Linked DNA regions of Rhinolophus ferrumequinum. The protein of the gene in region 1 purifies or fractionates together with the protein of each later gene. This does not show direct contact. Links are inferred from orthologs where the notes say so. Each region holds a gene or a part of one and is shown in the gene's direction. Other genes may lie near its edges. The genes, in order: SRPK3, EBNA1BP2, SON and CCDC86.

The links.
Region 2: the proteins of SRPK3 (region 1) and EBNA1BP2 purify together in Homo sapiens (affinity purification with mass spectrometry; 3 studies listed by BioGRID and IntAct, with this or other methods). This does not show direct contact. The link is inferred for Rhinolophus ferrumequinum from reciprocal best matches to the Homo sapiens genes SRPK3 and EBNA1BP2.
Region 3: the proteins of SRPK3 (region 1) and SON purify together in Homo sapiens (affinity purification with mass spectrometry; 3 studies listed by BioGRID and IntAct, with this or other methods). This does not show direct contact. The link is inferred for Rhinolophus ferrumequinum from reciprocal best matches to the Homo sapiens genes SRPK3 and SON.
Region 4: the proteins of SRPK3 (region 1) and CCDC86 purify together in Homo sapiens (affinity purification with mass spectrometry; 3 studies listed by BioGRID and IntAct, with this or other methods). This does not show direct contact. The link is inferred for Rhinolophus ferrumequinum from reciprocal best matches to the Homo sapiens genes SRPK3 and CCDC86.

The regions. Positions count from the first base shown.
Region 1 is NC_046284.1:6,645,134-6,652,482, reverse strand, and holds the start of SRPK3 (SRSF protein kinase 3), read left to right. Parts: upstream 1-4,328; 5' UTR 4,329-4,393; coding exon 4,394-4,446; intron 4,447-4,517; coding exon 4,518-4,648; intron 4,649-4,797; coding exon 4,798-4,906; intron 4,907-5,036; coding exon 5,037-5,124; intron 5,125-5,405; coding exon 5,406-5,493; intron 5,494-5,908; coding exon 5,909-6,015; intron 6,016-6,097; coding exon 6,098-6,263; intron 6,264-6,374; coding exon 6,375-6,400; intron 6,401-6,907; coding exon 6,908-7,040; intron 7,041-7,131; coding exon 7,132-7,349. Other genes in the region: PLXNB3 (plexin-B3), read left to right, coding at 1-123, 250-353, 443-536, 862-1,040, 1,167-1,327, 1,544-1,691, 1,904-1,968, 2,034-2,109 and 2 more. UniProt on the Homo sapiens protein: Serine/arginine-rich protein-specific kinase which specifically phosphorylates its substrates at serine residues located in regions rich in arginine/serine dipeptides, known as RS domains.
Region 2 is NC_046292.1:30,447,475-30,454,349, reverse strand, and holds the start of EBNA1BP2 (probable rRNA-processing protein EBP2), read left to right. Parts: upstream 1-3,868; 5' UTR 3,869-4,041; coding exon 4,042-4,107; intron 4,108-4,190; coding exon 4,191-4,274; intron 4,275-4,595; coding exon 4,596-4,765; intron 4,766-5,359; coding exon 5,360-5,483; intron 5,484-6,616; coding exon 6,617-6,706; intron 6,707-6,875. Other genes in the region: CFAP57 (cilia- and flagella-associated protein 57), read right to left, coding at 16-332, 3,316-3,472. UniProt on the Homo sapiens protein: Required for the processing of the 27S pre-rRNA.
Region 3 is NC_046285.1:99,475,335-99,482,820, forward strand, and holds the start of SON (protein SON), read left to right. Parts: upstream 1-4,477; 5' UTR 4,478-4,747; coding exon 4,748-4,824; intron 4,825-7,486. Other genes in the region: GART (trifunctional purine biosynthetic protein adenosine-3), read right to left, coding at 1,299-1,443. UniProt on the Homo sapiens protein: RNA-binding protein that acts as a mRNA splicing cofactor by promoting efficient splicing of transcripts that possess weak splice sites.
Region 4 is NC_046294.1:9,918,674-9,925,754, reverse strand, and holds the start of CCDC86 (coiled-coil domain-containing protein 86), read left to right. Parts: upstream 1-4,076; 5' UTR 4,077-4,220; coding exon 4,221-4,981; intron 4,982-7,081.

The DNA.
Region 1 (7,349 bases):
AGCGTGTGCCCGCCCGGGTGCTCGACACAGACACCATCACCCAGGTGAAGGAGAAGGTGTTGGACCAAGTCTACAAGGGTACCCCCTTCTCCCAGAGGCCTGCCGTGCACACCCTAGACCTTGGTAAGACGCCCATCTGCCTTCCTCCCCTGGGTCTGTTCCACCTATAGAGGCTCGGCTCTGCCTTGCTCTGAATAGCAGAGTTGGGGAACGGGATGAAGGCTGATTGGCTTCTCTGGGTCCCCCCAGAGTGGCGCTCGGGCCTGGCTGGTCACCTAACCCTATCAGACGAGGACCTGACCTCAGTGACCCAGAACCACTGGAAGAGACTCAACACTCTACAGCACTACAAGGTTTGTGGGGCGGGTACAGGCTGGGGGACAAGCCCATGCCTCGGGATGAAGCAAAGAAGGATCCCAGCCTCTGCTTCCCTCTCCGCCAGGTCCCGGATGGGGCCACAGTGGGGCTCATCCCCCAGCTGCACAACAGAAGCGCTGTCTCCCAGAGCCTGGCCCAGAGTTGTCCCTCCAGAGAGAGTGAGTCCTGCGACGCAGACATGCCCATGTGCCCCTGGGAGCTTAGGCAGGCCGGCAGGAGTCCTGGTCATGCCATCCCCTGGGTCTCCCCAGACCTTGCCAGTGGGCCAGCCAAAGCTCCAGGCTGAGCTGAGGGCCTGGGTCAGACGAGGGAAGACGTGTGTCCTGGCCAGGGAGCTCTAGGACCACGGGGTATTGCTGAGCAAGCCCCTGAGCTGCCACCCTCCTCTTCACATTGCTACCCTCTGCTTTCCTCGGCTCCTCCTACCCTGTCCCACCCCATCAAGTTGGGGCATAGGACTGAGGCCAGCACATGTGTCCTCAGACATCCCCATGCTGGAGGATGGTGAGGAGGGCGGGGTCCGCCTCTGGCACCTGGTGAAAGGCACTGAGGAGCCAGAAGGTGCCAAGGTGCGGCGCAGCAGCCTGCGGGAGCGGGAACGGGAGCGGGAACGGGCCAAGGCCATTCCAGAAATCTACCTCACCCGCCTGCTCTCCATGAAGGTCGGTGGAGCCATGTGACTGGATGGCGCCCTGAGGGGCCCCTGACTGAGCTGCGGGGAGGGCATGGTCCTGAGAGGCCAAGGGGCGGCCCCAGCCACTGATGCAATCCCCGCCCCTGCCTTCCAGGGCACACTGCAGAAATTTGTAGATGACACCTTCCAGGCCATTCTCAGCGTGAACCGGCCCGTGCCCATCGCTGTCAAGTACCTGTTTGACTTCCTGGATGAGCTGGCAGAGAAGCATGGTATCGAGGACCCGGAGACCTTACACATCTGGAAAACTAACAGGTACCTTGCCAGCTGGCCCCATCCCCGCGAAGATGGGACATGGAGTCCCAGAGGGACAAGGACATTGCCAGGGTGGCGGGCGGCAGGCCCTGAACAGGAACCCACACCCCCAGCATAAAGTCTCAGGACAGCTGCCTGGGGAACTCAGGGTGGGGCTCAGGCTGATGGGTGCTAGACTCGCCGTGCCTCACGCCCGTGGCCACTCTGTGTCCCCAGCCTGCTGTTGCGGTTCTGGGTGAACACCCTAAAGAACCCACAGCTCATCTTTGATGTGCGGGTGTCAGACAACGTGGATGCCATCCTTGCCGTCATCGCCCAGACCTTCATCGACTCCTGCACCCTCTCAGAGCATAAAGTGGGCCGGGTGAGGGCAGAGCTGGCCTCGGCGACAGCCAGGGGCTTGAGGAGAAAAGGCTTGTGGGAGAAGCCCCGGGGGCTGGGTGCAGAGCCCTGGGTGGAGCTGGGGTGGGGGGTGCATACTGTAGGCTAGTGGTCGGGGGCACTGGTGGCACTGTCAGGGTCACAGGACAGGGGCTTCCCCACCTCTGCACTCATGCCTACCTCTACCCGGAACAGGATTCCCCAGTGAACAAACTGCTCTACGCCAGGGAGATCCCTCGCTACAAGCAGATGGTGGAGAGGTAGGTGTCAGGGTATCACGGCTTGGGTAGAGGCTGCCCGCCCCTAACGGTATCTCCTCCTCCAGATACTACTCCGACATTCGCCAGAGCTCTCCAGCCAGCTACCAGGAGATGAACTCAGCTCTGGCTGAGCTCTCGGGGGTGAGACACGGACCAGGGGTACACGCCTATACATTTGGGGGACAGAGTGGGGGGGAGGCTTGGGGCTTAAGGCCCAGGCTGGGGCCTCATCCCCTCTATGTGCTGCCCCCAGAACTACACCTCTGCTCCTCACTGTCTGGAAGCTCTGCAAGAACTTTATAACCACATCCACAGGTATTATGACCAGGTGAGGCCAGGACTCTCCCGGGGAAGGGACACCGCCCTGGGGGCGGAGGAGGTGTCCAGGCCCAACCAGCCGGCAGAGGGGAGGAAGGGCCCGGGTTGAGAAGGAGCTTGGCTTCTGTCCAGCTTCTGCCCAGAGCAGCCCCCACTGGATCCCCAGGAGCTGCTGAGATGGAAGCAGGGCTGAGTGGCCCTGGGCCAGTGGGCAGAGGGCTGGAGGCTCAGGCTGGGCACCCTTCTCTGCCCTGGCAGATCATCGGTGCCCTGGAGGAAGACCCTGTGGGCCAGAAGATGCAGCTGGCCTGCCGCCTGCAGCAGGTCGCTGCCCTGGTGGAGAACAAGGTGACTGACCTGTGAGCCCAGGCCACAGCAGGCACCCAAGGCCCACCAGCTTGGACAGCAGCAAGCAGGACCCACCACCACAGTGCCTATGGCCCCTGGATCGAGCCAGCGACCGAAGAGGGGCTGGCAGAGTTGGGGGGGGCTCCCTGCCACCTCTACCCCCACTCCGCCCTTCCTCCCCGTCCGGGCTTCTTTCTAATTTATAGCGATCCTTCTCCTTCCCCCCACATTGTATTTATTTGCTTGCTGGAGAATTGCTTCTGGAAATAAAATGGGAATCTGTCTTTTTACAAAAAGCCCAATCCCCAGCCCCTGCCTTCCTCTGGAATCTACACGGCCCCAGGGCTGTGACTTCTGCTGCTTGAGGAAAAGAGGGGTAATCAGGCACCCCCAGGACTTGCTCTCCTCCCTCCCCTCGCCTCCCCTGGCCCCTGCAGGAAAGGGGTCCCTGTCTTCCCACCCCTGTTTATTCCCACCCCACCCTACCAGTTCTTTTCTGACACAGGGACACAGAACCAAATGTCTCCCATCTTGGGCTAACTACAGTCACTGCTAAGCCCCTGTGCTCCCCGAAAGTGCCCAGCTGGCCTCCTGGCTCCACTCTGGCCCTCTCCATTCCCTCCTGGGAGCAGCCAGAGTGATCTTTCTAAAGAACAAAAGTGCCCATCAGCCTCTGCTGGAGGCACATACTTGGCCACCCGAGGCCCCCCCAATCCCCAGCCACTCTGCAGCCAGTCCAGCCTTGGAGGTCGCCAGCCAGTCTGCTGCCAGCCTTGCCCCAGCCTTTGACACCCTGAAGGCTTACCCATCCACCCCCTTTCTGAGGACCTGATTTTTCCTGGTCCCTCTGATGTAGCTCCAAAGTCATAGGCTCTGCCTGACCTGGACATCCCTCTGTCACCAGCCCGCTAGAGCTGTGGGCTTGTTTGCTTCCCACTGGAGGAGGACCCCTGAGGGCAGGGCCAGGGTCAACAGCTCCCTGTGCCTCCCATGGGGGCACATGGCACATGTTGGTGGAGACAATGAGCAGGGCGGAGATGGCAGGCGTGGAACAGAGCCAAGAGGGAGACTGCCCGGGGTCCCAGCGCCAGAGTCCTGGCTGGGCAGATTTCCAGGCTTCCATTTGGCCCGCACCTCTGGTGGGAGTAACGTGTTGCCTTTAGCTCAGGCCCCTGACTCTTGCTATACCAGGGCCCCCAGTGATCCACATTCAGGAAAAAGAGGACATCGGGCTCCAATCTATCTTAGGGGTCAATGATGAGGCACAGGAAAAATGGGAAGCCAGAGAAGGTTCCAAAAGTGTCGGTGGTGCTCTAAGCACACGGTGGGGGGTGGGAGCTTGGCCTGAGGACTAGGTTGCCAAGTCCATGGTGTCCTTGCCTGGCTGACCCCCTCAGCCGTCTCTGGAGTGCAAGGCCTCACCCTGGGGCCCGGTCACCATGTCCTCACGTGGGTAACCCGATGGTCCTGGGGTCTGTGAGGGACTGCTCGCTCTGTCCCCGCAGTGGCCGGCTCTGCCAGCTGTGGGCAGAAGCGGGGGTGGGGGGGAAGAGGGCTTGTCTTAGGGGGCCAGGATGGGGGGGGCGCTGTCGCTGCACTGCCCCCTCCTCGCTGCATACCTTGCCCACAGCTGAGCAGCTGGGAGGCTATTTATAAAGGCGGGTGAGATCAGCGGGCCGAGGCTATAAATGCTCTGGCCAAGGCCGGGCCCCACAGGAGCAGCCCCCGGGGCGCCGGAGCTGCAGGCCGCGAGGCCAAGATGAGTGCCAGTGCTGGCGGTGGTGGCAGGGACAGTGTCGGCAGCAGCAGCAGGTAGGGCTCGGCCTGGGCGCCTGGGGCCCCTGGCGCCTCATACGCTCACTGCCCGCCCGACCCACCCACAGCTCACAGACCTCCTGTGGGCCCGAGTCCTCGGGCTCTGAACTAGCTCCCGCTGCGCCAGTGCCGCGGATGCTGCAGGCGCTGCTGGGCTCTGACGACGAGGAGCAGGAGGACCCCAAGGACTACTGCAAGGGTGAGGCCTGGCCTGGGGTGTAGGCGGCCAGGAGCTCCCATGGGGGGAATGGGACAGCCCAGGGAGAGGGTGCTGGTGTCAGTCCACGTGGGCCAGGGTGCCAGCAGGGTGATGCCCCCCACCGGTCTTTATTGGCTCCCTGCCCCCAGGTGGCTACTACCCCGTGAAGATTGGCGACTTGTTCAATGGGCGGTACCATGTGGTGCGCAAGCTGGGCTGGGGCCACTTCTCCACCGTCTGGCTCTGCTGGGACATCCAGTGAGTGTCCCCTTTGCCCCCTGGGGCCCAGTGCCGGCTGGGATCCTGCCTTTGGGCTTGGTTGGGGCCACTATGATGTCCCCATGTGTCTGGCCGGGGCTAGCAGCTGACTTGGGTCTCGGCGTTGCAGGCGCAAGCGCTTCGTGGCCCTGAAAGTAGTGAAGAGTGCAGGGCATTACACGGAGACAGCTGTGGATGAGATCAAGCTCCTGAAATGTGTGAGGCGCCTCCCCTACTGACTCCCAGCTCCCGGGGAGCTGCCTGGGGCCTGGCAATGTGGGTGCAGGCCTGCAGGGGCTTCTGGGGCGGGGCGGAACTCCCAGAAGGGCGGGCTCCAGGTGGCCCTGCCCAAGTGGGAGGAACTGGAGGAGCCAGCGAGGGCAGGGCCAGCGGCCTGCCTTCCAGCAGGCCCCTGGAGTGGGAGAGGGGTCTGCCACCCCGGGAGCAGCTGGTGAGGGGCAGGTTGGAGCCATCCGTGGCCCTTTGGCCTTTGCTCCAGGTCCGAGACAGTGACCCCAGTGACCCCAAAAGAGAGACCATTGTCCAGCTCATCGATGACTTCAGGATCTCAGGGGTTAATGGAGTCCGTATCCTTTGCAGGCTGATCAAAGCCCCATGGCAGCACAGGCGCCCGCTTGTGACTTCCCAGCTGCTAGGGCCTCAGTTTGCTGATCTGCATGATGACCCTTGTCTTCAAAATACCCTCACTACTTCGTTATGGGGCACAGTGGGTAACCATGTTGCTAAGTTACCCCCAAATGGCAGGGCCCACCACGTCTGCGGCGTACCTGGGCGTAAGAGGGGCTGGTCTGAGAGTCCTGCTTCTCCAGTGCCCTCTCCCTAGGATGACCACAGATGTACCATCCCAACTGGCATATCTGAGAATTACAGGGGCACTGTGACCACCAGGCCCACCAGGCCCAGCTCCTCGACCCCAACTGATGGGGGGTGGAGCCTGTGCCCAGTTGCGCGCCTGCCAGCCACCCTTCACTCCAGTCCCAGATGTGTGCATGGTCTTAGAGGTCCTGGGCCACCAGCTCCTCAAGTGGATTATCAAGTCCAACTACCAGGGCCTGCCTGTGCCATGTGTGAAGAGCATTGTGAGGCAGGTGAGCACCCCCTAGCCCACGGGAACAGCACTGGGAGGCAGCCTGGGTACGGCTGGTGGAGCTCAGGAGGGGCTGTCTCCAGGTGCTCCACGGCCTAGACTACCTCCATACCAAGTGCAAGATCATCCACACAGACATCAAGCCTGAGAACATCCTGCTGTGTGTGGGTGACACCTATATCAGGCGCCTGGCTGCTGAGGCCACGGAGTGGCAGCAGTCAGGGGCACCGCCCCCATCCCGCTCCACAGGTACTAGAGCTGTATGGGGCTGGGGCTGGCCTGCGGGTCTCAGCCCCTGCCTGAGTCTCTGTTCCTTTCTTTCTACCCCTCCCCCCGGTGCCCCTCCTTCCCCCCCCACAGTCAGCACTGCCCCCCAGGAGGTCTGGGTAAGTTGGGATACCCCTCTTTTCCTGTGCCTCATCTCCCCATGTCCTCAGAGCTCGCCTCCTCAGCCTCCCTGCCCTCCGCAGCACTCTTGCATTTCCAAAAGGCTGGGCAGCCCAGATGAGGGTGATACATGTGGCGGGTCACATGCCCCAACCTGCCCTTGGTGGCTGCTAGAGTCACCACTGCCTCAGTGTGAGGACATCGCATCTTGCACTGGGAGGGACCAGGGCTGCCCCCAGAGGAAGCAGGCACCCAGTCAGATGCAGGCCCATCCGTTCCTCCCTAACCTTGAGGTTTGAGGAGTGGGGGCAGGAGGGAAGGCAGGAGGTGGGTGAGAGGCTGGTGCCAAGGAGTGTTCTGGAAGAAGGATGTGCCACATTCCGACATCTGTGCGAGCCCTGGGGCCCAGAGGCATTGTCCCCTGTGGAGTGGTAGGCCACAGGCAGAGGTCCCAGCTGGTCAAGGAATAGGCGACAGGAACCCTGGGGTGACCCTGGCTCTAACAGCAGCTGGGTAAGCTGTCGAAAAACAAGAGGAAGAAGATGAGGCGCAAACGGAAACAACAGAAGCGGCTGCTGGAGGAGCGGCTGCGGGACCTGCAGAGGCTGGAGGCCTTGGAGGCAGCTGCCCAGGCTGAGGGTGAGGGGCCGGAGGGGCCCCCCACCCTGGGGCTGTTGAGCGCGGGCCGCCAGGGCTTCGACTCACACACCACCTCTGCCCCTCTCCCCAGACTCTAGCTCAAGACTAGAGGGGGGCAGCGGCTCTACCTCTTCTTCCGGTTGCCACCCTGGAGGGGCCCGGGCCGGCCCCTCCCCAGCCTCCTCCTCCCCTGCCACGGGGGGCGACCGCAGCCTCAGCCCCGGCTCCCAGACCTCAGGCTTCTCCGGCTCCCTTTTCTCTCCCGCCTCGTGTTCCATCCTCTCAGGCTCTTCCAACCAGCGGGAGACT
Region 2 (6,875 bases), on another chromosome or scaffold:
TGTGCTGGGAGATACCTGATAGACACCATTGTTCTGAGAGTCGATTCTAACAATGGCCATTACTTTCTGTTTTTCCCACAGCCAATAGACAAGGTTGGACTCTGGAGGTGATGTCTGAGTCAACAGGTATTTGGAGTCTGGAGAAAAGGCCATGCAAGTAAATTTCTGAACTGGGAAGTCAAAATTATTAAGGATTTTGCGCTTCCGGACAGGGATGGATGACAGTTCATAAATGGTGATGACAGGTTTTTCTTGCACCATCTCTGAGACAGCGAGGTATCGCCTATTGGGACTGATGGACAAGGCCAACATGCCTTGACTCTTCTCTGAGCCTGAAAATAGAGGTAAAAGGGAGAATAAGGGTAGATGAAGCTTTCACCAAGATTCAACGTGAAGCAGCCACAGCGGCTGACGCAATAGGAGAAAAGTGCAGAAACAGGTCATTGTCAGTCCACGAGCCCCTTGGTACAACTATATCTGGGGTATTATTAAAATGACTAGGATGGGTACCTCCCTGAGGCGAAGCTTGGAGGAGAAGTCAGGGAACAATTCCTGGAGGCGGACAATGTGGGACAGGGAGGGGAGTGGGGCAGGTGGCAGGAAGAGAGAAGGTATGAATGTGAGAAAGTAGGATATTGCTAGAGCATCACATGTGAGCCAGGGATGACCAAAAATGGGTCTAGAGGGGTGGAAGAGGATCAGATCATAGAGGCCTTTATGCCCTGAGCAGGCAGCACTTAATACTCTCCGTCTACTTTCAAGGCCGAAATGCTAACCACTGGATTCCTCAGCCTCCCTTGCAAATAGGTGATCTATGTGCCATTCTGGCCAGGAGATAGATGTAGAAGTCTGCTGACTGGCTTTATGGTAAAGCTTGTGCTTTCTTGAAAACCAGGGATGGATGCACTCTATCCCCCTTTTCCTGGAATACAGAGGTGATATGTGGAAATACAGCAGTCATCGTGCAACCTTGAAGTAACAAGCATGAGAATGAAAGCCACGGTCCTCTAGATAGCAGCGCCTGCGGCAAAGGTTAAAGTGCAAATACTTTATTTGTGAAATGCAATCAGGGCCACATTATGATTTTTGTGGGCCTTAGGTACTTTAGCTTTCAGGGACACCTTCCTCTATTAAAAATGTTAAAAATTATATTTTGTGACAGCATTTGTATAAAGAGGAATATATCCAGGCTGGATTCATTGATATGTTCATTATTATTATATTCATTTTTTTCCTGATTTTAAAATAAATTAAAATTAAAACATTTTCTTCTATCCTTAAATGTATCATGGGTCCTAGGCTCTATGCCTACTGTGCCTTGTGGACAAGTCTTCCAGCTCAGTTAACAGCAACTCCATCCTTCTGATTAATAAGGCCAAAAACCCCACTTCTTTTTCTCTTTCACCCTACATCAGATCTCTGAGAAAATCTGTCACCTCCACTTTCCAAGTGTATCCCGGATTTGATCTCTTCCCTATGGCCTATAACTTGCTCCATGACACCATTTTCTCTCACCTGGATTACAGCAATAGTCTCTCAACTGGTCTCCTGCTTCCTCCCTTACCCCTCCTTGCATCTACTCTCTAAACAGTAGCCAGATGAACCTGTTAAGTCAGACCATGTTATGCTGTTGTGAGTACCCCCAGGACTTCTCATTTCACTCAGAATAAGAGCCTATGACCCATAAAGCCCTAAGTGAGGTTGCTCCCCATCACTTCTCTGCCTCACCTCTCAGTGCCTATTGTTCCAGTCACTTCACTTGAGCCACCCTGGCCTCCTTGCTATTCCCCTAACACACTGAGCACCCTCCTAACTCTGAGCCTCAAAGGTGAAAAGCAGAAGTATAAAGCATAAAAGAGATAGTATGGGAGAATAATTAATAATCTTGGGTTAGGGAGAAATTCCTGAACAAGACACAAAAAGGAAAATGTTGATAAACTTCACTTCATTAAAACTAAGAATTTCTAAAAAAAAAAACAAAAAACAAAAAAAAAACTAAGAATTTCTGTCCATCAAGATACCGTAGGGAGAAGACACAAGCCCCAAACTGGGAGAAATTATTTGCAATACATATATTGGACAAAGGATCGGTGGTATACAGAATATATAAAGTGTACTCATAAGTCAGTAAGAAAATTGCCCCCCAAAACCACAGAAAAATGGGTAAAAGACATGAATAAAGCATCTTACAGAAGAATGAATAGGAATAGCCCATAAACATGTAAAAAAAAATTCATTCTCATTAAGGGAAATGCACACGAAAACCAATAAAATCAATCACTAGGTTAGCAAAAAATTAGGAAGTTAGACAATACCAAGGGTTGGCGAGGTTGTGAAGGAATGGCAACTCTCATATACTCCTGGTGGGAGTGTAAATTGGTACTACCGCCTTACGTAATTTTAGTCCTGGCTGTGTGTCCTGGAGAATCTCTGCACAAGCGGATGAGCATACATGAATGCAAAGACATTTTTACACTAGCGCGGTTGGTAACAGCAAAAAACTGTTGTTTCCCAAATGTCCACCAACACCAGAATGGATAGATACAGTTGAGACATTAGATTCATAGGACGGAACACTACATAGCAATAAAATGAACTCAAGATGCATGTAATATATATCAAAATGTATAATCTCGAAAGCATGAGCCACCTTGTTTGTTTTGATGTTAAACAAAAGAAGCCAGCCATAGAATACATATACTATGATTCCATTTATATAAAGTTAGTAAATAGCAAAAAACAAAACTGTATCTTACGTGGAGTTACACATATGTGGTAAAACTCTATGCAACAAAGAGTGGAAAAAGGGAATAAATAATCAAGTTGTAGAAATCATATATATCGACAGGAGCAATGTGAACAAAAACAAATGTGACATTATACAAATGGTTATTTGTGACTTGGGATAAAATCTCCAGTGTCTTCATCATGCATGAATTATAAAGGTGCTGGGATGAAGGTGGTATACTCTGAAAAACTGTCAGATAACTCAAAAAGTGGCCCTGGTGATGACAAACACAATGATTTTGAAGATGCATGAAAAGACACTCTTTACATTTTTTTTTCATTAGATCACAGTGGAAAAAAAACTTTTAAATTAACATTATTTTACATGTGATTTTAACTGTGTATGTGTGATTGATTACATGTTAAATAATGCAAGCAGACATGTATTCCTTCCACATTTGGAAAACTATACGTTTATTCAAGTTGGCCAAAAAAAATTTCCTTTCAGTCATCGTATTGAGACTATGGGGTTATATTTGCCACCTAAGGTTAATGTACGAGTATGTGGCAGGATGGAAAGGGGTTTACCTGGAATGAATTTTTGCCACTTCTGATCCATATTGTACCTCACACACTGATTTCCTGCAGGAAATATAATGATCTGCTCATCGAAGAAGAAGATATTGTTGGCCACTTGGGATTGAAGACCAAAAACATGGTGCGACTGAGCTACTACGGTCGACATGGTCCCTGGCCAAAGAGATCTGTAAAGACCGAGCCCGCAGTTGACATGGAGAAGCGCATCGCCGCCCAGCCCCGCCCAGGACACGCCCCTCACCACGCCCCCAACCCTCCTCCACCGCCCACTCCAGAGCCCCTCACCCACTACCCCGCCGAGGCTCCGGATTCTCCCTTCCTTTGCACCCTCGCGGCTTCCTTCTCCTCCAGCCATCCCCCCACCTCCCGGTATTCCCTCTCACCTTTCGCTTTTCCTCCCCGAGTTACCAGACCACACGTATATCCCGGGGTAGTACCACGGCTCTCAGGCAACCTCGGCACTATGAGACGCCGGAGCGGTTCCTATAGCAACGGAAAACCGGAAGTGTGTCTGGGCCCGGAAGCGGAAGTCCAGATCAAGAAGTCCCGCAGCAGTAGTGAGTTGTTGGCTGTGGAGCGGTTCGGTTCCACGTGGAGCCGCGGCGGGAAGGTAGAGGACTGAAGAGCGGCGGCTGCAGCGAGAGGTGCCCTTTCCAACCGCGCGGGCCTCGGCCTACTCCGCTTCCCCAGGGACGTGTTGGACGTGCGCGCAGCCAGATGGACACTCCTCCGCTCTCAGGTTCGGACTCAGATTCTGATGATTCTCTTGTCACGGACAAAGAGGTAGGTGTCAGCCGAGCTCGCGTGGCTGGACGCGGGGAGAGGTCCTTACTCCCCTGGTACCTATCGCCGATTATGTCCTGCAGTTGCAGGATGCCTTTTCCCGAGGTCTCCTGAAGCCAGGCCTCAATGTCGTGCTAGAGGGGCCGAAGAAGGCAGTGAACGACGTGGTGAGCTCGGGCGCTTGGCGGAGGGGGGTACTCGGACGTGAGATGAGCACAACGAAATGTGCTTGGGTGACTGAGTTCTTGTCCCAGAAAGGACACTGCGTGCGTATTGTCAAGAGGGTCAGTTACCTGTCAGGGTATTGGGGGATAGCACTTTGTCGGTTCGCCTAGCACCCTGGGCTTGAGAGAGACATATTCAGGGTTCCCTTCTTAGGAGCTCAGTGTCTGAATTTCTTAGAATGGCCTGAAGCAGTGTTTGGCTGAATTCAAACGGGATCTGGAATGGGTTGAAAGGCTTGATGTCACCCTCTCTGAATTTCTTAGAATGGCCTGAAACAGTGTTTGGCTGAATTCAAACGGGATCTGGAATGGGTTGAAAGGCTTGATGTCACCCTCGGTCCGGTGCCAGAAATCAGTGGACCCCAGTCACCACCTCAGGACAAGGATCAGAAAGCTGTTGATCCAGAAAATGACTTCCAGCGGGAGATGAGCTTGTATGTTTGTTTTCAAATGTGGGAGAAGTTGTCGGTCCCTATGCTAGAGAGGGAGGAGAGAAGGAAAGTGGGGAGCCCGGACTCCTCAGAAGTTATCACAAGCCTGGGATCAGGGTGGGAGGCCTCTTTGGACTAAAAAGAGCTAAAGTTTTTTGTACATTCAATTATTAGAACAAAAATTTGCTTATGGAAGTTTCTTATATAGACATTTTTAGCGACTGCCTAATAATTCATAATTGGCATTAGTTTTGTAAGTTAGTGGGTACTTTTAGAGTGGTGATTCTCTTAAACTATTCATTTATTTTCAGCAGTACTTCCCATCACCCTACCTTTTTAAAAGAGTGTACAGTTAAATTTTTCCAAGATTAACTTAGATACCAAGTTAATGAGGTTTAAATGAGGTTAAATTTTTCCAAGATTAACTTATATACCAAGTTAATGAGGTTTTTATTTGTGTGTTTTTGTTTGTGTGTTTGTTCTTGCTGGTGGAGGTCAGATGTTGAGAGTCTTTCTGACCTTGGATAACTCATGAGAAGCAGTGAGAAGGAATGTAAGGCCTCTTAGCTTATTTCACACTTTGTCCTACATCCTCAGCTACCGTCAGGCCCAGGCCGCAGTGCTTGCAGTATTACCCCGCCTCCATCAGCTCAAAGTCCCTACCAAGCGGCCCACTGATTATTTTGCAGAGATGGCCAAGTCTGATCAGCAGATGCAGAAGGTAAGAAACAGGGAAGGTTTTTTTTCTGGAAAGCCAAGGTGTTGTACTTAAGTATATTCAGCTGGCTTACCTTCTGTACTGTTTAAAAAACTAAGCCTAATAATAGGGAACCAGTTGTCAAAGGACAATTATCACCTCTGTTGTCTACTTCACACTCATGACAATCACCACCAATTAGATAAATGTAAGGGTGACTTTTTCCTAATTTAAATAATTAAGATGGGGCGGCTGAAATACTATGTGGTGGACCTTCTTTAATAAAATTTTTTTTAAAAAGCAAAAAAACGAAACAGTTAAGGGGAGGAAAAGAACTGGAAGTGTGGTCCCCAAGGTAAACATGGCCTTTTGCATTTCCTAGCTGCCATGATCATGGCATGTTGTATAGAAAAAACACAGTTCTTGTCCTGCCATTACCAGTGGGCAGTGCTACAACTTGTAGACAATTCATTTTCTCTGGGCTTCAGTTTTCTCTTTGGTAAAATGAGGGAATAATGTATGGCTGAGATGTAGTATAATTTAGGGTTAGGTACAGCTTGGTCCTCGTTTAACTTTGGGAGGAAGAGAATTGCCAAAATCTAATCCAAGATGTATTGACATAGTTCTCTTGGGTCATAAGCTGGATTTTAGGGAGCTCTTATCTTGGCGGTACTTAGGGAAGCTAATCTAGAGATGGGCCCAGACACATCTCTGTACATTCACACTGACAACTGTTCATCCTTGAACTGAAATGTGTATGTTTGATGGAAAAGGCGAAGTGCCCAATATCTGTTGGAGTTTTTAATGTGTATGTGGTATATTGGAGAAGGGGACAGTAGGGATGGGGAGAAGTTAATTTCTCTTGGCAAAATTGCAAGCAGTTTTGTATAATGGAACAAATAGCACAGTGGGAATGGGAAGTTTGCTTGCAGGTTCTAGCTCCACCGCTGCTACGTTTGGGATCTTGGACAGAGTGCTGAGCCTTTGGGCCTCATTAGCCTCAGGTGTAAAACACAGGACTTGGAATAGGTGATAATCAAGGTTCCTTTGAGCTCCACAGTTTGCAGCACTGGGAATATCTGTTTTCTGCTCCAGTGTGCCCTAACTAGTGGTCATCTCAGATTCAATTAACAAGCTGACAACATTTTGTGTTTTAGATTCGACAGAAACTGCAAGCTAAACAGGCCGCCATGGAGAAGTCTGAAAAGGCTAAGCAATTGCGAGCACTTAGGAAATACGGAAAGAAGGTGAGAAGGAAAGTGTGCAGGGGATAGGATGAGGCCGAGTGTGTTTTTCAGGCCAGATTGCGTGGTCTGATTTGTTCCATGCCCTGTATGTGTTCAGTCATGTGCTTATTATTTCATAGTGGGGTGTGTGTGCTCTAGTATTCATGAACTCATTCTCTTCTTGATGCCA
Region 3 (7,486 bases), on another chromosome or scaffold:
GGGATAAGTGCAGAAAGGGTAGAGTTCTCAGTCCACAGGAACTGCCTGAGTGGAATAAGGATGGAGTACAATGCACTCTGGGCAAGCAGCTGCAAACACAAGTGGGCTGAGCAGAGCCAACTACCTCAGCACAGCAGAGGGTGGCATGCGGAAGAGGACACATCTAGCTTGTCTCTGCAAGTGGTAGCAGCCTCAGGACAATCGGGGACATTTTCATGGGCTGGCCTGCATGGCATCAACTGCTTTTACATAAAATGTGCTAGTTCTTCAATAAACATACAATATCTCACCCCCTAGCTAAGATCCCAGGGAAGCAGATATTTCCTTATTTATCTTTTTCTTATTATTGTTATTTTTGGTCCTGTGTATGCTATTATCTTCTCCCAGTTTATGGCTTGCTGGGTCTTCTCTCCAATACATACTATGAGCCACATAGGGTACTAGGCACAGGGCACACAATATAAAACAAGACAGTTGAATTCCTTGCCCTGATGTAGCTTACCTCCTACAGCTTACGTTCTAGGGGTGAAGTGAAGGTAGGAGACAGACAATAGACAAGTAAAAAATAAATATAGATAATGGTTCACAATCGCAAACAAATAAAATGTGAGGTGGACATGCTTTACTTAGAAACTTTAGGAAAGTCCTCTTTGAGGAGATAACATATAAGCTGAGATCTGAAATAATGAGGAGCCACTAATGCTGGAGGTGGGAACAAATACAAAGGCCTAGGCAGCTCTGTTTGGGAAACTGGCAGCCTGCATGGCTAGAGCACAGTGAAAAGAAAACAAAGGATATGACAAATAATACCGGAAAGGCAGGCACAGGCTAGATCACAAAGGGCTTCATCAGGAACACTAAGGACTTTTGAGTTTTATTTTAAGTGCTATAGGAAGCCACTGAAGAGTTTAATATAGCATAAGAACTGATCATTTTTTCATTTTTACCAGTTAAAGAGATAAAGGCTGAGACCTATGATGGAGATAGAATTGCCAGAACTTAATAGCACTGCTCAACTTTTCATGTCCAAAACTACACATTAAAATGCCTTTAACCTACCTACATTGGGCATGTGTGACTTTTTTAATGGATGTGTTTTATAAGGTTTAAAATAATTTAAGATAAGAAAATGCCACATACCGAACAACAGTATACCTTACATTTACAATATATGGCAAACATTCAAATTACCTCATAAACTTTAAGGTTAAGAAAAGCATTCACATCTGAATAGCAATTGACCTTATAAAAAACAGATGCAGTTGACAGTTTATCATTTATAATTAAAACATGATTACCAGCATTTGAAATCTTTTCAGAGCAGGCAGTGCCTGCATTTCCTGGGGCAACCAACACCTGTTTGACATGATTAGACTGTGCAAGTTTCCACGCCAGTGCATGTTCTCTTCCTCCATTGCCAATTACAAGTACTCGGGCTGCCATTGCTGTCTGCAAAGTAGGAATTCAGAAGGAAAATGAGAGCTGCAGAAAGAAAACCACAATCGGTATTTCAGAATGCACATACTTTAGAAATAACAATTTTTAAATATGATGTATTCCAACAATTCATTTGTGAAAAGTTAGGATGAATTTGAGAAATGAAATAATGAGAAATATGACTGTATTCATGATTAGGGAGGTGTTTTAAAAATGAGGCAGACAGGCCTAGAGAGCTAAGTTAAGGAGTAAAATGGTGACTTTAACTCCTTATTGGATTAATAAAAACACAAAAAACAAACCTTGTATGAACAATAACCTTCTGGGTTTTTAGAAGATATAATAATCGAGCCTCAGTTAAAAATGAATCCTGATGTTTTACATCTAGACCAGAACTCAAAATAACTATTTTTAAATCTTGTGATCATCTGCTGTAGCATGAAAACAGCCATAGACAATATATAAATAAATAAATGTGGCTATGTCCAGTAAAAACTTACAGAAACAGGCAGGCCATGGGCAGTAGGTCATAGTTTGGCTATCTCTGCTCTAAGCAATAGAAAGTAATCAGAGGTTTATAAAGAATAAGCATGGCTGTGTTTTAATAAAACTATTGTTTATGGACACTGCAATTTGAATTTTAATTTTCACGTGTCATAAAAACACCGTTCTTTTTCCCCCAAACATTTAATAACGTGAAAACTATCCTTATTTGGTGGGCTGTACAAAAACAGTTGACAGGAAGGATTGGCATAAAGGTCATAGTTTGCTGACCTCCGATTTAAGAAATTAGTGCAGTATTTTAGAAAATCAGTAGAGAAGGCAAAAATCAAATTTGAATATGTCTCACATTGTTCTGGAATTTGATTCTGAGCAGGATGGGGCAACAGCTATCTCTCCACTGGTTAGCAGTGTGACTTTGGGTAAGCTCTTATTATTTCTAATTCAATTTCTTCACATCTTAAAAGATGGGAGAAAATTTGCCTTACAAGGTTACTTAAGGATGAACTGGAAGGGTATTTATATAAACAATTAGTACAATTTCTGACATTCAGCAGTAGTAAATGCTAACTTGTTATATTTTATTAAGTACTTTTACTTAAAGTAATACTTTAGAAGTTAGAAGTTCTAACAGAAAAAAAAGCAAAAGGAATGAATAATTTGGCAAATTAATTTACTAATTTTCAGAAGACATTTAATTACGTAGAAGGCAAACTGAAAATGGGAAAAAGAAAACTGAAATTTGTAACTTCTTGTGAGATGCTAGGATTACACATTTAAATAAAAACCTAAGTTGATAATAGAAAAAACTAACACTTTTTGAGCACTTACTTTGTGCCAGATGCTACATTCTAGACGCTTTTCATGAACTACTTTGCTTAATCTTCCTAATTCTATGTGATACTATTACCATCCCCATTTTACAGATAAGAAACTGAGGTACAGTTAGGTTAAGTAACTTGCAGGTCAGAGCTCATGTATTGCAACTGAAGCAATTTTTCATCAGATACTGTAACAAGGAGATGGTGGTCATTGAAAACCTGAGGGAAAAAAATTACTAAATTATCTTCTCAGAAAGGAAAAAGTTATTTTAATTTAACAGAAAACACAGATTTGCCATGTGCATTGAAACATCTGAAAGAAACACAGCTTTAAAACTAGAGAAAATATTACATTTTGTTTGAACAAGAAGGGGAAGAGAAGACTCAGCCTGAACGAATCTACACCAGGAGTGGTCAGGCCCAGGCTCTAATCCGGGTGCCTTGGTTTGGGTTGAGACACTGTCCCTTATTAACCAGGATACGTTGAGGGACTTAACTTTCTCGGGCCTCAGTTATCCAAGTGAGTAACATAACGAGATGAAGAGAGCCAGGTAAAGCCTGGCTTTCAATGGATTTGGTGAGTAACATAAAGTAAAAACCAATTACAGAGGTGGACTAATCTGCTAGACACAATGGGTGCATAACAAGAAAATATACAACTTATATTTATGACCTAAAAAAAGAAGCATAAAGATACAAAAGGCCTGAATCTTAGAAAGCAGGGAAAGTGACAGATCCAATGTAAACCTCAGTTAAAAATGAAAAGCACATGGCGAACCCCCACTCAGTGCATTTAAAAATTGAGTATTCCTATAGCCAAACCAGTTTCTACAGCTATCTCACAACTGGAGTTAGTTCATTCAATTCCTAATATTAGATCCCCAAACCAAAGCATAAATGTACTTTACTTAAAAGCGCCGAGGGCTTACGCACGAACACAATGTCGACTCAAGGCCTTCTGGCCGCTGGCACTCACAAGTTCGACTGCGCGCTTGGAGCTCGAGCGCCCGCGCGCGCCGGAAGTCAGCCCACCGGGATCCGGGGCGCGCGCCTCCTCCCCGCTCCGGGCCCGCCCCGCGGTGGGCTTCGCTTCCCCATTGGTCAACGCAAACCGTGGTCTCTGCCGCGAGGTAATCAGTGTGTTCCCTCCCATTCTTGGGTGCGGCCTGAGCCCACTCCAGCGCAAAGCTAGCAAGCCCTTCCTTGCGTGCTTATGTGATACTACAGCATCAGGTGCCACCTAAGGTCTTTATTCCTCCCGGAGAGCGTCCCGGTCTCTGAGGAGGGGGAGTGTCCCAAAACGCTGAATCCACACTTAGCTAATTGTGTGTTGCTAACGAGTCAGAATCGAGCAGCTACAGTGATAGTCTCGCCTGGCTCCTGACTAGCATGCACCAGGCTTTGAACGCAGGTCGCGCAAGACTTCCTATTGCTTAAAAACAAAACTGATTATAGGCTATCATGGGGTAAAATCGTGTCCTTCCTATTGGCATCTCAGTGGGGGCGGGCGCTGATTAATGCTTTCCCGGATGCATCTCCCTTGCTGAAACAACTTGGGAATGTCGGAGGCCCGGTATCCAACGTGTTGCCCTTCTTACCCCCTTTCCTCATAGTATTTAATCTCGGGAGTTTAGTGGCTAAAGTAAGCCTCTTAAGCTTCCAAACATTGTTGGGGACTGACAACTTAAACTGACAAAGTCGCCTCGAGAGATTTCTCCTGTAATGGCGCCTGCGTCAGTCACTAACATGGCGGACAGAGTCGTGCGCGGCGCAAACGTCAGCAGCTCTACCCAAGCCGCTCAGAAACAGCGGAGGAGAGCAGGGCCGTGCTCACTGATTGGTACATTGGCAGAGCGTGCAGATCCGGACGCTCCCACAGGAGCCAATCAGGACTGCGAGAGACGGAATTGGCCCCTGCGCCTCCTCCCGAGGCATTCTGGGAGCCTGGAGGACTAGCGAGGAGGAGTTGAGAGAACGGAGCGGACGCCATGGCGACCAACATCGAGCAGATTTTTAGGTCTTTCGTGGTCAGTAAATTCCGGGAAATTCAACAGGAGCTTTCAAGGTAGGCGCTTCCCAGACTCTTCTGCTCCCAAGGGATCGATAGGGCATCATGTAGTCTTCCATACCACCTTTATTCAGAGACGCCGTCGTTCCCTGCCTCAGGCCCCGCTACAGCCCCGCCTGGGCCTGGGATCCATTTTCCGCCCCCCCCACCCCCATCCGCTCCCTCCCTTCCCAGCGAGGAACTTCGCTCTTTCCGAGGTAATCCCAGACTCTTCTCCAGGACCGAGTTAAGAAGCTCACTCTTCTCTCTCGTTTGGTCGTCCCCTACCCTTTAGTTAGTAGGCCTGGTTGTCCACTAGGGACGGGCCTAGTTCCTCCTCAGCTCCTCCTCCGCCGCCGCGTTTCCCCTCCCCCTCTCAGCCTCCGCGGATTTCGCCGGTCGGTGCCTATGACCGGAAAGGGTCTCTAACGGCCGTTTTTTTGACTAAACTTAAATCCGCTTTTTACTGCATGCTTCAGACCATTTGGGGGTCGGGATCCTCTAATTAGATTATTTGGGCCCTAGTGTCCTGTGGCTTCCACCAGGCAGCATTGTAAGTTTCGGAATTCAAATTAAAAAAACTCAATTAATGTTAGCTGCTTTGACAAAAATTTCGAGTTGAGGATGGAAGGGGACTTTGAATTACTACTAATTTCTTAATTTAGCAAGTGAAAGATGGGCTTTGTGTGTAGATCTAAATTTTTATTTGCTATCGTTGCCCCAATTGATATATTTGAACAACACATTCCATTTTGCCATTGCTGGTAGACTACGTAGTTTATCCTTGGTTCCACAAAATTTGAACGAGGAGAGAGTTCCAAAGAAATAGTTGTTTACTCAGAGGAAAATAGTGTGGGTAATGTGGTTGTTCACTGGTTGTCTTTCAGTATTTTTTGCTTTGTATAACGTAAATATTTGTTCCGAGTCCAAATGTTTTTGCTAGTTTTAGTTTAAAAGTTGAGAGCAGGAGCAATAAAAATCAACGGAAAACGCAATTGTAAATTAAGCGCTCGAGTTAACAGCGTTATTGGAGCAACGATATAGTATTGCTAGGATTATTTTTTACAGGATATATTGTATTTTAAATGGGAAATATATCCGCTTACTCATTCCATTGCTTTCAAAAATTTTGTTACATGCTTGTATTTTCAGGATGATGGGAAAAGACCTGAGCTAAGGGAATATGTAATACATATATTTTGGGGGGGATACATTCTAATAGTCTCGTGCAGTAAGTGGTTGTGTTTGCTTATTGTAATGTCTTTTATACCTTTTAAAATCGGTTTTTGTGTTAGAAAGTGTTTTGTTGTGAAAAAATTTTAAAAAGTTTAAAAGGAACAAAATTAAAAACCACCACAGTTATTGATGTTCTTTGATTTTTTTTTTTTCCTGTGTGGATAGATGCACATACATGTCTTGTGATATGTGATTATCTTGTGTTGGTTGTTTTTTCACCTAATATATTGTGAGCAAGGTTGTCTTTAATCAATCTCCATAGTCTTTTGGGACTTATGGGACATTTTTTTCATGGTTCCGTAGAATTCTGTAGGAATGTGTTGATGGATGTTTAATGGTTTGAAATTTTCATCCCTTTTGAGGAAAACATCCTGATAGCTTTAAGATGGTTACTTTCTCATAGACTGACTTTTTTTAGTTGTACTTTTCTGATTTTTAAATCTGTTGCCTTTTTAGTGAGGTAATTACGTATGTGTAAGTGCTTAGGAAAAGTGCTTTGGAAGGAAATTCTAAAGAATATCAGAGAAAGCAATTTATTACTAGAGGAATATTCAGCTCCTCAAATAACATGTAATACATTATCGGTCGAAAAACAGATTTTTGATATTTGCCATTTCCATGAGCTTTATGTCCCATCTATTTTTACATATGTCAATTTCAGTAAGGAGACTGAAATTTAGATAGTTAAAATAGGTTGTTTATTATATATAGATGGTGGTTAAGAGGATGAGCTCTGGCTTTGAATAGCAGCTTCACCTCTTAATAGCTGTGTGACCTACAGCAAGGTTTCTTGTCTTTTCTGTGCCTCATATTCCTTATTTATAAAATCAGAATAATAGTGCTGATCTTAAGGTCTCATTAGAATTAAATGAGTTTAAAAAATGTAGAACCTTGTGACACTAATAGTCAACAAATGTTAATTATGTGCATCATTGTATTAGAAAACCAAATGTTCCTTAATTAGTTAACTACCAATTTTTTTTGATCATTCAGACTTTTCATCAGGTAGTGGAGCATAATTCCATCTGTTTTGTTAGCTAAAATGTAAGTTAAATTGAATGTGTTCTTGAAATTATTTTTTAAAACAATTTTGCAAATTTATACAAAAATAGTGGAAATGACCATGTAAATGACATGTTCTTACGTTTGTTAAGATTCTTGTAAAACAAAACAAAACAACCTTTAAAAAAAACCCAAAACCCACAAAACAAATGAACAAAACAAAAACAAACTCATAGATACAGGAAACAGAGTGGTGGTTATGAGAGGGGGAGAATGTTGGGGAAGAGGGAGGAAGAGGTGAAGGGGTCAATGGTGTGGCGATAGATGATGGTATCTGTCTAGACTTTTGATAGTGACCACTTGTGGTGTATATAGATGATGGATGATTATGTGCACTTCAAGACACACACACACACACACACACACTTTACCCCAATTAAAA
Region 4 (7,081 bases), on another chromosome or scaffold:
TGCAAGGAGGTCCCTTCCCAGCCCCGGCAGGTTCTCTGCACCCTGCTGACGCTCTATGGGGACAGAGAGGGGGTCTCACAGCAGGGGTCTCAGGTTCCACTCCCATCCATCCCCCTCACCCCTCTGCTGAGGTCTCTGCCCCTCCTCTTGAGAATCTGAGACTCGTTGTGAGCTGCTGGGAACACAAAGAAACGATGAACCTCTGAGATGACTGCTCATGATAAGAAGTGACATAATAATGTGGTCCTGTTGCAATTTCTCGGCAGGGCCTGATTCAGGGTTCACACACGCAAAGGAGGGGGAGCAAACACTGAAGGAGGAGAGCCGGGTCTCCAGCGAGGTCAAAACAAAATGTAGCAAGGCCGAATGACAAAGCCGGCACTTGTCCAGAAAAACCAACAGCTCGTGACTGGGATACGGGGAACAGCAGCTGGAACCAGACTCGAGGTGTCAGTTGATGGCTCACGGTCGGGAAGAGGATGGGGACCTGGCCACACTGAAAGGAATGGTGGAGTAGGGAAGTGACAAATGCCTTGGAGCTCTGTGGGGCATCCCGGCTGGGTGCCTGAGGGAGCTCTGGGCACCACATTCTGGAATGGTTGTAGAGAACTAGTGTCTTTTCCCAAGAGTGGGAGGGACAGCTGGAGGAGCAGATGTTGGGCCTAGAAAAAAAGACAATTCTGGAAAGCTACAGGAAAGCTGACTTCACATACTTAAGAGACCTCTGAGTGGAGGAGAGGGCAGCCTGGACCTGTGTGCTCACACTCAGCCCCAGCCCAGGGACATCTTTGCCTCCTCAGGTCCTGCCCTCACTCCAGCCACACTCAGCAGCATCCCAATTGCCAAGTCCTTACACATACTCGGCCCCCAGGCCTGGCAGATGTGAGAGTAGGGGCATGGATGTGGAGTCAGGAAGCCCTGAGCTCCAGGGCTGTCCTAGCACCAGGCACCTTCTCCTTAAGTCGCCAGGCACCAAATCACAACCTCTCCCAGCCTCGGATTTCCTCGTTGGTAAACCAGGGCTGTTCATCCAGCCCTGAGGGGGTCATAATGGACATCTATTCCCACGTTCAGCAAATGCTTATGAAGCACCCTCCTGGTGCAGGCATCACCCTCCTGCATCCGCACTCCAGCGGATTAAACGAGCACCCAGGAGAGGCCCAGCACTTAGGAAGTGCTCAGTTAGTGCTCAGGTGACTGCCACAACCCTTTCTCTGCTTATCTCTGATTGTGGTCCTGAGCAGAGGGCTGTGGTGATGTGTGCCCCTGATATGTCACACGCTCTCAATGGCAGCACCCTTGGCTGGGTGGAGTATCAATGGCTCAGAGAAGAACACCTGATCTGTATCTTTGGTCATCTCTGGGTGCAGATGATCAGTCAGCAGATCTCAGGTTACATAAATAATCCTTCAGCAGTCTGCCCAGTGTGTATGCACAGAGAGCCATGGCCAGCCCATGGGGCGACATGGCACCCAGCAGCTCCCAGTATACAGACCAGGGTCAGTGTGAGGAAGGGCGAGCGAGGCCCATGTGAGAGGCAGATGCAAGGCAGCTAAGTATGCCGGCTCTGGAACTGTACTCCTGACTCCTTGATGTAGAGCTGTGTGACTTTGGGCAAGCACCTTCGCCTTTCTGTGCCTCAGTTTCCTTACTTGGGTAACAGAAGATTTACTCTTAAGGGTTGTGGCTCTGCAGTCAGACAGCCTAGGTGAGGATCCCACAACACTGATTTGCTGTGTGATCTTTACAAGTGTCCCAACCTCTCTGTGCTTCAGTTTCTTTATCTGTGAAATGGGAGTAATAACAGCACCTGCCTCACAGGGTCGTTGTGAGGATTACATGGCTCTGTACATATAGAGTACTTGGAAGAATACCTGGCCCAACAATTGCTTGCCCCAGTGTTTTAGGCCGGGTTCCTCCAGAGCTGACTGAGACAAGGATTTAAGTGCAGATAGTCTGTTCAGCAAATGACCTCAGTGAGCACCTACCAGTGAGAAAGTGAGGCAGGGACAGAGAAGACGCCAAAAGAGGATGCCTGAATGACCAGGATACCTTCGTAGGCAAGTGGGGCTCAATCCTGCTGGGTCCTCTGGGGGACTGTGAGAACCCCCGCAACGTCCTCCCACCCAAGGGTAAGGAGGCTGGGATGTTTGCGGGAGAAAGCAAAGGAGTGTGAGGGAACAGAGTCCCAAATGCCACACCAGACTTTTCTGAAAAATTCAGGGGTCTCCTCTGGGGCCCTGCACACCACTGACAGTGACAATGACAAACAGGTCAGGTGGGAGTGGAGGGTCTGGGCCACAGTTCGCCGGGTGCCTAGGTTGATAAAGGGTCTCCACACATGATTCCAGAGGTACCCACAGAGCCCATGTCTGTCAAACATCTCTTTCTCTCACACGACCCTGGCAGGGACCTGAGATCACCCTCTGCAGTACTTTCAGCCTGGCCTGGATGTGATCCATCCAGCATTTGAGAGCCATCCCTCCAGCTGAGGACAGGAGCTCAGGACGCAGGAAGCTGAGGGGACCTGACACAGGACAGTGGTAGTGCGGTGGCATACGGTCTCCTCCAATAACCCTGGTAACACACACTGGACCTGGTTCTGAGCAGTAGGCCACTCAGGTCTCCAGGCAGGTGCAGGAATTGAAGGAACCAAGAGCTGGGGGCTGGAAGAGCTGGGCAAGGACAGGGCCGAGCTGCTTCTGCAGTGGGGAGCCGTACTGCTGGGCAGGAGACTGAGGTAAGCCTCCCTGCAGGGCGTTCCTTGGCCCAGGATCATGAGGGTGCAGAGCCTGCAGAAGGAGCCTCTGAAAGGGGCCAGGAAGGCAGGGACTAACACATGACAACAGTCCAAGGGTGCAGCTATTTCTGATGACATGGAGGGACATTGGAGAACCCATGCCGTCGTCTTACCTTTGGGGAGGTGATTTCAACAGGCTGAATTCATCAGGATGTATTGTGGATGTTACATAGCACCAGCCAAGGAGTGAGATGTGTTAAGGGCTTGTCAGTCCACTTTTCCATCCTTCAGGAACCTTTGTCTGGAACCTCTTTACCTCCTCCTTGATCCACAGTCAAGACAGGCTGAGCTCTACCTGCCACTGCAGAGTGACTGAGCAGGTGGGGGCTGTGCTCAGCGCGGAGGCCTCGCATGTCTGCCCTGACCTTTCTCCTGTGACTCCTGAGCATCCTTGGACAGTTTCCCAGGCCTTCTCACAACCCCTCTGCTGGAGAAACAAGGTTTTCTAAAAGAAGCCCCTGGGACAGCAGGACAGGAGCCCTGGGATCCCAGAGGGCCATCCCCAGGCAGTTCTAAGAATAACAGTGGAGCGGGGATACAGTTGGGCAACTTCCAAGATGTTCTTCCTAAGAAAGACTTGTGCTGTGAATGACGAAGCCCTGCCTGGGTCTCACGCAAAGGAGGGGAGAAGGCAGGTTCACACACTGGGGCAAAGACCAGTCTCCTCTGACAGGAAGCTCAGAGACCATCCAATCTGTCTCTAGAATCGAGAGGGTATGCCGTGAGGCTGAGGGCCCAGGTGTGCCAGGACAAAGGTGATACATCTTACTGGTACCTCAACTTCATGCGTAAACGTTGGAAATATTGATTGAAAAGGGCGAATCATAGATTTGATACTTAAGCACAGAGTGGGAGAAAAGAAGGCAAAGGTATGACCATTTCACCGGTAACTCCGCCGGTAACTCCGGACTTCCCCACCTCCAGGATCCTCCAGGTACTACCTTGGCAATTAGGAGTACTCAGACAGGGTCATTTTAGATACACTAAGCGAGTGCAAAATCACCCATATTACACGTGAAAAAACTGAGGTCCAAAGAGGGTGGGACCCCTGCCTTACTACACAGGAGTCAGTGGCCAAGTTTTCATCCAGCCTTGCCTACGGGCTCCATTCTCCAGGAAATGGGTCCCCTGCACTCTCTTTTCCCCAGGAAATTGCAGGAAAGGTAAACCGGGATCTCAAGCTAGGCTTCGTTCGCTCATCAATCCCAAGCAAATTCACCACCGCGCTTTGCGCATGCGCACAGTAAGCCCAGCCCCTCGGGCCACCAACCCCGCCTCTCTGCCCATCACCAACATGGCTGCCCTGGCGATAGCCGCTCCTGCCCGGCACCAACGTGGCGGACGCTGACGTCATAGAACAGCGCCAGTTGCCCCACGCGCTGCACGTGGAGTCGGATTCGGGAAACTTTCAGGTTGGGCCATGGATACACCGCGGAGGCGCAGCCGGCGGCTGGAAGGCCTAAAGCCTGAATCCACCGATCGTCCCACCTCAGTTTTGCGGGCGAGACGGGTCCTTGTGGAGTTTGAGTTGAACCCAGAAGAAACGAGAGAGCCCGAGTCTCCTCGGAGTGTGCGGCAACCCGGCCCGGGATCCCCCAGACGTCAGCCGGTGACATACCCGGGATCACCCAGTCTACCGCAGGGGGCAGGCCTGGGGTCCCCCCGCAGGGAGGCAGATCCGGGCTCAGGGCCCCCCCAGAGTCAGCAACATCCAGGCCTGGAGTCGCCCCGAAGACAGGAGGAGTCGAGTCCCGAATCCCTCCGACGTCAGCTAAAGCCAAGTGGGGAGTCACCACAGTTCTTCCAGAGCCGTGAAGAACCGGACGCGGAGGTGGCCCGCAGTAAGGAGGCGCTAGTGCCGGGGTCTCCCGGACATCAGTTGCAGCCGGGCCCGGGATCACCAGAGCCTTACCCGGGTCAGCGAGCCCCAGGTCCGGAGCCCTCGCCGCCACTACAGGAGCTGAAACCCCAGTCATCCGGCTCCCCTCGGGGTCAGCACGAGCCGAGCAAGCCACCTCCCGCCGGGGAGCCGGGGAGAGACGGCCTAGGGCCAAAGAAGCGAAAAGGATCTTCAGACCAGGCCCCAGCGCCCAAGAAGTTGAAGGAGGAGATGGAGGTTCTTGTAATCCCGAAGGGAAAGCCCAAATCGGGGCGGGTGTGGAAGGACCGCTCCAAGAAGAGGTGAAATGGGGGGGGGGCAGCTGGGCAGGGGTGGGGTTCTCTGTGGTATTGGGGCACCGGTGCAGCCTGGAGACAGCCCCTAGGTTGGAGAGAGCTCACACAAACTGGTAATTATAATCAGAGTGTGGTAAAATGCCCTGGGATCCGGGGCCCGGGGAGCATGGTTATTTCTGTGCTGCTTTTCTCTTCAGGGTCTCTGCATCTCTCCGAAGAACCTCCTTTGTGTATTCATTCAACAGGCATTTGCGTTTGTCTGCCTTCGCCAGTGAGGGAGGCAGAAGCAAGTAAACCAGCTGTGACTTGATAAAAAGCAGTGAGGTCTTCACCCACTATTATCTGTTACAGTTATTTGCCTTTGTGATAGAAAGTATTACCAGCACTGACTGAGTATACAGGACACTGCTAAGCACTTCAGTAGGCCTTGGCCAGGGGATGGCTTTTCAGACACAGGGACCAACATGCATCATGGGGTTTAATCTGCACATCAGCCCTGTGAATCAGCAGGTTTATCCTCACTTTACATATGAGGAAGCCAAGGCTCTGCAGAGAAACGGTGAGCAGACCGTAGGAGGTCCCGTGTGAAAGCAGAAGCTGTTGCAGTAGAATTAAAACACCTTCAGAATCTCAGGCAGGTCTTGTGGATAAGGGCCAAAGGGCCATCGAATTGATGTTTGTGATCTTGGTGAGTGAGCCCAGAGACAGTGGAGGCAGCACCTGCTCCAGGAGTTGTCCCAGCAAAGGGGGCTATAGAGGTAGCTGGAAAGGCCTGGCTGCAGCCCCACCTTCCTTGCTCATGCTAAGTGCCACCTTGGGTGTGCTGGCTCCCTTCTCTGAAGGGTGGCGTTTATTGAGCATCTACTAGGTGCAGAGCACTGTGCTAAGTGATTCTCAGGCCAAGTCTCGATTAATCCTCCCACTGTCCTTTGGGATGAGAATGATTCTCATCTCCATGTGACATGGGAAGGTGCTGAGAGGCTACCTTGCCCAAGGTCACACAGGTAGTAAGTGGTGGATTCGGGCCTTGGAACCCAGGCCTATATTCCTCCGATCTCCAAGTAAAATTGATGCTCTGGAACGGCCCTGCCCAATACCTTAGCCACCGACACATGTGGCTATTTCAATTTAAGTTGATTAAAATTAAATGAAGTTAAAAATTCAGTTCCTCAGTCACACCAACCACATTTCCAGTACTCAGCAGCCAAGTAACTAGTGGCTTCCTTCTTGGGCAGCATCAATGTGAACAGTTCTACCATTACAGAGAGTTCTGCTTGGCCGTGCTGCTCCAGAAAGATGCAGCTTTGTGTCCTGTGGCTCTGTCCAGGTCCCCACTGCCTGGTCCATTTGGGTTTCTCGGACCCCTGTTGGGGTAGGGAAGAAGGTCATGCTGCAGCCTCATTCTTCTGTGCTTCAGAGGCCGGGTCTTCCGCAGCAGGCCCTTGGCGACAGGGAGACGGAACAGTGCGGGGGTGTGCTGAGCTCTGTCAGGCAGAGTGGGGGGAGGGAGAGCAGAATCAGCCTGAATATGGACAGGTGTGGGGTCAAATCCAGCTGTGTGTGCCAGACTCCTGTGAAGCAAGAAGGGGAGAAGACAGCCATATCGAGCCTTCCCCGTGGATGGGAGTGGGCTCTGCCCTGGAGGCATCACAGCCTTCAGAGGCTGGGACAGGACCGCCGACCTGCTGTGACAGGTCAGGGCACCACGTAATGGACGTGGATGAGCAGGAACTCTTTCGCAAGTTAAGATATTGGAGGAGGCAAAAAGGCCCCGATGAGAGGATCTGCCAAGGAGAAAAGGCCCACGGGGCACCCAAACAGGCCTAGAGTTCAGGAAAAAGACCTACAGCTGAGGGGAGCGCAGTTTAATGAACCCCACGTTCTCATCACCAGCTTCCATAGTCCTCAGCATTTTACTGGTCAAGCGTCATCTTGCTCTCTGATGTTTTTTTCTTTTTTTTTTCTTTTCTGGAATATTTCACAGCACGTCCTAGGCGTGTCATTGCACCCACACTCCTTGCAGTGTGCGTTCTCACAGATCATCTCCTTTCTCCCATTAAGAAAGGATTTCCCACTTAAGGAAATCAAGACTTCCCCTGATGACCT